2 linked regions of the Callithrix jacchus genome follow. The protein of the gene in region 1 interacts with the protein of each later gene in a biochemical or structural test. Links are inferred from orthologs where the notes say so. Each region holds a gene or a part of one and is shown in the gene's direction. Other genes may lie near its edges.

The links.
Region 2: the proteins of GTF2I (region 1) and USF1 form a complex in vitro, tested with the Homo sapiens proteins (2 studies listed by BioGRID). The link is inferred for Callithrix jacchus from reciprocal best matches to the Homo sapiens genes GTF2I and USF1.

The regions. Positions count from the first base shown.
Region 1 is NC_133503.1:9,011,906-9,015,714, reverse strand, and holds part of GTF2I (general transcription factor II-I), read left to right. Parts: intron 1-1,114; coding exon 1,115-1,298; intron 1,299-2,707; coding exon 2,708-2,736; intron 2,737-3,809. UniProt on the Homo sapiens protein: Interacts with the basal transcription machinery by coordinating the formation of a multiprotein complex at the C-FOS promoter, and linking specific signal responsive activator complexes.
Region 2 is NC_133519.1:20,900,004-20,904,325, reverse strand, and holds the end of USF1 (upstream stimulatory factor 1), read left to right. Parts: intron 1-33; coding exon 34-83; intron 84-255; coding exon 256-371; intron 372-710; coding exon 711-812; intron 813-1,073; coding exon 1,074-1,269; intron 1,270-1,506; coding exon 1,507-1,594; intron 1,595-2,041; coding exon 2,042-2,100; intron 2,101-2,246; coding exon 2,247-2,341; intron 2,342-2,575; coding exon 2,576-2,704; intron 2,705-2,889; coding exon 2,890-2,979; 3' UTR 2,980-3,630; downstream 3,631-4,322. Other genes in the region: TSTD1 (thiosulfate:glutathione sulfurtransferase), read left to right, coding at 3,981-3,990, 4,201-4,322.

The DNA.
Region 1 (3,809 bases):
TACAAAGTACAATTGCAGTAAGCAAAGAGATTTGTTTTAATAAGATCATTTCAGGATATAATGGTTAGGTGGTTGTAATCTTCCTATATAAAAGGAATTAAAATGTAAAAGTAAGTGTTAGGCCGGGTGTGGTGGCTCACACCTGTAATCCCAGCACTTTGGGAGGCTGAGGTGGGTGGATCACAAGGTCAAGAAATCGAGACCATTCTGACCAACATGGAGAAACCCCGTCTCTTTTAAAAATACAAAAATTTAGCTGGGCATGGTGGCACGTGCTTGTAATCCCAGCTACTCAGGAGGCTGAGGCAGGAGAATTGCTTGAACCCAGGAGGCAGAGGTTTCAGTGAGCTGAGATCGCGCCATTGCACTCCAGCCTGGGTAACAAGAGCGAAACTCCGTCTCAAAAAAATACAAAAATTAGCTGGGCATGATGGAGGTGCCTGTAGTCCCAGCTACTCGGGAGGCTGAGGCAGGAGAATTGCTTGAACCGGGAAGGCGGAGGTTGCGGTGAGCCAAGATTGCACCATTGCACTCCAGTCTGGGCAACAAGAGCGAAACTCCATCTCCAAATGAAGGAATGAATGTTTTGTTTGTGTTAAATTTATTTAATAAGATACCATTAGTGTTATACTATGGATGGTTAGTGTGAAAGTTAATGAATTTAAGGTTCACCGTCTGGCAGTGTGGCTCATGCTTGTAATCCCAGAACTTTGGGAGGCTGAGGCGGGTGGATCAGCTGAAGCCAGGAGTTCAAGACCAGCCTGGCCAACATGGTGGAACCCTGTCTCTACCAAAAAATACAAAAATTAGCTGGGTATGATAGTGCATGCCTGTAATCCCAGCTACTCAGGAAGTTGAGGCAGGAGAATTGCTTGAACCTGAGATCAAGCCACTGCACTCCAGCCTGGGCGACAGAGTGAGACTCTGTTTCAAAAAAAACTAACCAAAAAAAAAAAATTAAGGTTTATATTTAAATTTGTTTGAAGTGTACAAAGATCTTAGTTAACAGCAGAGACAGTCTTTACAATAAATGTTGATCTTGTGCTTTTTACAGACTTTTTAAAGTAATAGATTAATGTCTGCTATTGTGCTTTTTGTCTCACCATCACTACAGGTGAAGCTATTGGTATGGGTTTTCCTGTCAAAGTTCCCTACAGGAAAATCACAATTAACCCTGGCTGTGTGGTGGTTGATGGTATGCCCCCTGGGGTGTCCTTCAAAGCCCCCAGCTACCTGGAAATCAGCTCCATGAGAAGGATCTTAGATTCTGCCGAGTTTATCAAATTCACGGTCATTAGGTAAGTGAGTTTCCTGCTCAGTCACGGGAACAAATCCTGAGCTCATGAGGCTGAGCCATCTAAAATGCAGTCACAGGGAGACGTTGAATCAGGCTTCCTATGCAGTGCAGTGACCAAAGGAAGAGAACTTGTTTTGTTATTAGGATGTTAGATGCTTTTCTGCCTAAGCGTTGGCAAACCAGCACTGCTAGGTTCAGCCTGCCTCCTGTTTTTAGAGTCTTTCTGAAACACAGCTACATCCATGTTATTCATGGCTGCTTTCCTGTCACAGGGAGTAAGTAGCTGGGGCCGGGGCAGCATGGCCTCCGGAGTCTAAAATATTTTCTCTCTAGCGCTTTATAGAAAAACCTTGGCCTGTAATCCCAGCACTTTGGGAGACGGAGGCAGTTGGATCACCTGAGGTCAGGAGTTCAAGACCAGCATGGCCAACATGGTCTTGCGCTCCTGTTCAACATGGTAAAACCCTGTCTCTACAAAAATACAACAATTAGCCGGGCATGATGGCAGGTGCCTGCAATCCCAGCTACTCGGGAGGCTGAGGCAGGAGAATCACTTGAACTTGGGAGGCGGAGGTTGCAGTGAAGCAAGATTGTGCCACTGCACTCCAGCCTGGGCGACAGAGCGAGACTCGGTCTCAAAACCAGGAAAGCCTTGCCAACCTCTGTCTTAGGCACCTTGTCAGGGCTTTGGGTCAGGCAGATTGGATGTCACCTCAGCCATTCGTTAGCCGGGTCACTCTGTTAGTTGTCTGTAAATGAGAGTGCTCATTGTCCCCCTTGAGAGTGTCAGCTCCTGTCCATAGGAATAGGCATGATGACTGTACCCACCCCCGACAGCATTGAGAACGCCACATTCCTTCTCGTGTCCTTGTCACAATAAGAGATGCCCACCTGAGGACCAATCCCAGGTTATCTTCCCTATTCTCTTCCAGCCCCCAGAAACTTACTACGACTCCACCTTCCCAATCCATTCGTCCAGCTGCCACTGTCTCTAGTTCAGATCTCTTAGGACTGGCACTCAGAAATCTCATAATACATCCTCTTGAGGCTTCTCCTCATTCACTCGTCTTCTTCCATCCTTCCTTCCCTAAAAATCCCATGTTTTTGTTCCACTTCGCCATGGCCATTCTCCATATCGTTCCCAGGAGTTAAGCAAAAAGCCTCTTCCATTGTTGCGTTTGAGTCACTCTGTTCCCTGCTCTGCATTTTATTGTGAAACACTTCCTAACCATGTTCTCATTATTCATACATATCTGTCCCTTCCATAAGTTTACAAGGTTGTGGGTAATATTTCTTGTGGTGGCACATAAGTGACACGGGCTGGGTATGAGCTGAATGAACAGTCACACCTGTCAGTTCTTGCGGAGTGGAAATAAATTGTTCTACCTTACACTCTGTTTCTCTCTTTAGACCATTTCCGGGACTTGTGATTAATAACCGTGAGTATTTTGTGAAGCGTTTGTCTTTTTGCTTTCCCTGGGGTCTGACGTGTGTGTGTGAGTGTGTATACATGCTTACAGTATCTCGTGTTACCTCACTACGTCAGTAACCGTGCAAACAGTCGTCTTAGCCCTCAGTAAAAACACCCGGCATTTCCTCGCTATAAAATGATTCAGACTCCTCAACTTTTCCTATCCCCGATGAACTTAATCATAAAATGGTAATAACAGCACCAGTCTGGGGACGGGAGGTTTCCAATAGATGGAAAGCAGCTAGAATAGGTGTCAGCAAGCTCCTGCTGATGTGTGCGCATAAAGTTTTATTGAAACCACTATCCTGTCCATTTGTTAATGGCAGAGTTGAGAGGTCACAGCAGCCAGTGTATGACCTGCAAAATCTAACACCCTTACTGACTGGCTCTGTAAGAAAACACGTTTGCAGCCCCTAACCTGGAATAGTGACACGGGCTATGAGCCCACAGTACGTGCTTCGCCCGTGGTATGGGCTCGGCAGACACAGCCTCTGTTTATCACTGCTGTTATTGCTGTTCTAACCACTGGGCTTGAATTTCGTGGCAGAGTAGGTGGTTTATTTTGTCTGTGCCTGCTTCCGTTACTATTTAAGCACACTGACTGGCACACGCCAGGCTCTCAGATACTGCTGAGTGAGTGAACACATACCAGTGTCTTTAGTTCCTTCATGTTTGTGTCATTTTCAAAAGTATTTTCCACAAAACTTAATTTTGTGAGTACGTTTTGTTTTCTTAACTTCCTTATTAAAAATGTATAAAAGTTGGGCCGGGCGCGGTGGCTCACGCCTGTAATCCCAGCACTCTGGGAGGCCGAGGCAGGTGGATCACAAGGTCAACAGATCGAGATCATCCTGGCCAACATGGTGAAACCCCGTCTCTACTAAAAAATACAAAAATTAGGTGGGCGTGGTGGTCCACACCTGTAGTCCCAGCTACTCGGGAGGCTGAGGCAGGAGAATTCCTTGTACCCAGGAGGCGGAGGTTGCAATGAGCCGAGATCGCGCCCCTGCACTCCAGCCTGGCAACAGAGCGAGACTCCAT
Region 2 (4,322 bases), on another chromosome or scaffold:
ATATTCTTCCTTTTGTCCTTTCACCATAAACAGGCAGCAGAAAACAGCTGAAACGGAAGAGGGGACAGTGCAGATTCAGGAAGGTGAGTGCTAGAAACAGAACCACGGCTAAGAACCCACCATGGGCTCACTTCCTCCCTGACCAGACCATCTCCTGTGCATCCTCCTTCAATGACATGAAAGTGGAATGGGGATGGTGTGGGGTGGGGGGCGGTGGGGAGAAAGGCAGACTTTTCCTTTGTTCTTTTAATTCAGGTGCAGTGGCTACTGGGGAGGATCCAACCAGTGTGGCTATTGCCAGCATCCAGTCAGCTGCCACCTTCCCTGACCCCAACGTCAAGTACGTCTTCCGAACTGAGAATGGGGGCCAGGTAAGGGAGGGGGCCAGGTGGCTGTAGGTGTTATTTGGGGTTGGGATTGAGGGAGGTAATTGAACATGTCTTGGGGTGACCTGGCTTGGAGGATGAGCTGAAAGCATAGATTGTTGCAGGGGAGGGAGGTGCGAATACTGGAGTAGAGACTGGTGTGAGGTTAGATGTATGCTGAAACCTGTGTGTGGAGAAAGAAGGAAGAATGGCTGAATCTGTGTCTCTGAAGGATTCTTGTTTTGGGGCCCTATCCAAGGGAAGCTTTATGAGGGGCCCTAGGATTCCCAGCACTTAATCTGTTCTTCTCTCTTCCCCTCCCTCTGCCTTCCTCTACGCTTCTAGGTGATGTACAGGGTGATCCAGGTGTCTGAAGGGCAGCTGGATGGCCAGACTGAGGGCACTGGTGCCATCAGTGGCTACCCTGCCACTCAATCCATGACCCAGGTACAGGATATTGGTTGGGAGATGACTAGAGTTCTGAGAAGTAAGATGAAGAAGGGAAGCAATAGGATGGGGGTGAAGCTAGGAACAGTGAGGCATCTAGGGCTACCTTGTCCCAAAACACTAGGCTCTCCCTTTCTGGACGTTTTTCTCTCTCTCTGTCTTCTCCACCCTACCCGCTACCCCAAGGGATAGAAGCTGCAAAGTGGTATAGTGGGAAGAAGTTTTTGACTGTTGAATCTGTTCTCTTGCTCCCCTTCCCAGGCAGTGATCCAGGGTGCTTTCACCAGTGATGATGCAGTTGACACAGAGGGGACAGCTGCAGAGACGCACTATACTTACTTCCCCAGCACGGCAGTGGGAGATGGGGCAGGGGGTACCACATCGGGGAGTACAGCTGCTGTTGTTACTACCCAGGGCTCAGAGGCACTGCTGGGGCAGGCGACCCCTCCTGGCACTGGTGAGATATTTCGGGAGGATGCTGGCTGGAAGGGTAGGATAGGCTGTGGGACATGACTGGTAGGCAGTGAGCCTTCACTCATGACTCTTAGTGATCATTAGGACCTGGGCAGGCAGTGAGTCTGGGGATGCTCTTCTTTTAGCATGTTCTTTTTAGAGGGGGGGCCCAGGGTCTTCACCTCAGGGCATGGTGAGGTTCCTACTCATGTCCTGACAGAATCATCCTGTGTCTTCACAGGTCAGTTTTTTGTAATGATGTCACCACAAGAAGTACTGCAGGGAGGAAGCCAGCGCTCAATTGCCCCTAGGACTCACCCTTATTCCCCGTGAGTGACCCTTGTTTCTTCTCAGATTCCATAAGTGGTTTTGTTTGTTTGTTTTTGAGACAGTCTTGCTCTGTCACCCAGGCTAGAGTGCAGTGGTATAATCTCAGCTCACTGTAACCTCTGTCTCCAGGGTTCAAGCAATTCTCATGCCTCAGTCTCCCGAGTCACTGGAACTACAGATGTATACCACCATGCCTGGCTAATTTTTGTATTTTTAGTAGAGACAGGGTTTCACCATGTTGGCAAGGCTTGTCTTGAACTTCCAACCTCAATTGATCCACCTGCCTCAGCCTCCCAAAGTGCTGGGATTACAGGTGTGACACACTTCACCCATCTAGCCTTAAGTGGCCTTAATACCTGCTAAATCGTGTATAATTCTTTAACCCTAAACTCCAATCACGTATTTTATCCTTCTCTTACCCTGGTCACCCTGGGCTCTATTGTCAGGAAGTCAGAAGCTCCTCGGACAACTCGAGATGAGAAACGCAGAGCTCAGCACAATGAAGGTAGGTAAGATCTGTGTGGAGCTAGGAACTGTCTGGTGGGCCTAGGACAGCAGTGATGTCTGAGGGGAGGAGGGGTTAGGTACTTTTACCCTGGGACTTGCAGTGAGTTTTCACGGAGTCACCTTGTCCTCCACTTTGCTCCACAGTGGAGCGCCGCCGCCGAGACAAGATCAACAACTGGATCGTGCAGCTCTCCAAGATCATCCCAGACTGCTCTATGGAGAGCACCAAGTCTGGCCAGGTCATGGAAAGACCCTGGTAGTGGGCAGGATGCCTGAATTCTGTCTCCTGGTATTGTTTCCAGAAATGGTAGAGAGTAGGGCACACATGACCTCTCCCTGAAGTTCCTGTATCCCTGGGAGATACTATACCACCTTTCTTAGGGGAAAATGAGGTCCAAAGTGTGAACCTACTTTTGGAAAGCAAGCTGGGTATCTCAAATCCTAGTCCTCATTTTGTCGGCCTTATCTTGCAGAGTAAAGGTGGGATTCTATCCAAAGCTTGTGATTATATCCAGGAGCTTCGGCAGAGTAACCACCGCTTGTCTGAAGAGCTGCAGGGGCTCGACCAACTGCAGCTGGACAATGACGTGCTTCGACAGCAGGTCAGATGCCCACCCCCAGTGCAGCCCTTCTCAGCTCTACTAGCCACTGACCCAGTTTGACACCCTCTACTTTGTTCTCCATGGAGAGGGCTTCGTCTCTCACCAGTGGATGTCTGAATACATTCAGGGGCTTGGTAGTGCCAGCTTTACTACCCATTCCATTTACTCTCTCCTTCCCATGTCAGGTGGAAGATCTTAAAAACAAGAATCTGCTGCTGCGAGCTCAGTTGCGGCACCACGGATTAGAGGTCGTCATCAAGAATGACAGCAACTAACTATGGGGATCCAGGGGCTTTGGGCCCAAGAACTGCAGATAGCCCAGGAAGCAACAGCCTAATCCCGTGCCCCTTTCCTTCACTGCCCACTTCTGGCAGGGGACTGGGGGGGGTTTCAGAAGGTGTGTCTTTGAACTGAGGCCCTGTGATATGGCAGCCTGCAGTGGTGTGAAACACACAATGTGAACGTGCACTGACAGCCTTGCCCACCCCCACCACGCAGCCCCTGGGCCCTTGCGTTCCTCTCGCACAATGCATGTGCTGCCTCCATGCTGGATACTGGACACACTAAACTGGGGGGCTTGTCCTGTGCTTGCTTAGAGTGCCCAGCAGAGGTCTGCTGACGGGTGATGCTCTGGCTTGCCCCAGGACTCTGGCACTTCCATTGGTTCTTCCTTTCCCTGGAGCTGAGGTTTAGACATGCACCCTGCTGCTCAGGGGAGCAAGCTTACACAAGAAATGGGGGAAGGATGTTTAGCAGTGGCTGGTGCCCATGAAGAGGAGATTGGCCAGCAAGAAGCTGAGGCCTGTGCAGACATCTCTGGAGCCAGGGAGAACTACAGGCAGGGGCCCACTTGGGGCCTTCCCCCTTGTGGGGGTGATTTTTTTTTTCTTTTTTTTTTTTTTTAAAGATAAAACTGTTCAAAGCCACAGTTGTCTGCTTTTCTTCCTTTTGTGGGCCACAGGCTGAAGGGGAGGGGCACATTGCCCTTTGACCAGTATGGGCTGGGGCAAGTTCAGGGTGGGGTGCTGCTCCTGTACTCATTACCCTGCGTCCTGGTTCCTAGCCCAGACCGGTATGTCGTTTATGGCTTACGCTGGAGAATATTAAGGACTCCTGCGGTGGGATGGTGCTAGCGGCGCCGCGAACAGGTGCTGCGGGGGCGGTGCGGGAGGCGGTACCCTTGCTTCCGGATCCGGTCTCAGTGACCGAGATGCTGCGGGTGCTGAGGGGGCGGGCCGGGCCCGCGCTCGGGAGACTACCGGTTGCTGCACACACCATGGCTGGAGGTACCTGTGGGGGATTCCTGGGGCCGAGTTCGGTCCTCGCGGCCCCCTGGATTGAGGCGTGGCGGCAAGGGGGGGTGGGGAGCGAAGGGGCGTAGCCAAGGGGTCCTCGTGCACACCCTACTGCGGAGGGGCGCTGCCAGGTGAGGGGGCGCCGTGGTGGCCGTGACTCCGAGGCCCCCTCTCCTGAAGTCTGTCGTGCCCCTTCCTCAGCGCCCACGGTCTCGCTCCCTGAACTCCGTTCACTCCTAGCCTCGGGCCGGGCCCGGCTCTTCGACGTGCGCTCTCGGGAGGAGGCGGCAGCTGGGACCATTCCTGGGGCGCTCAACATCCCG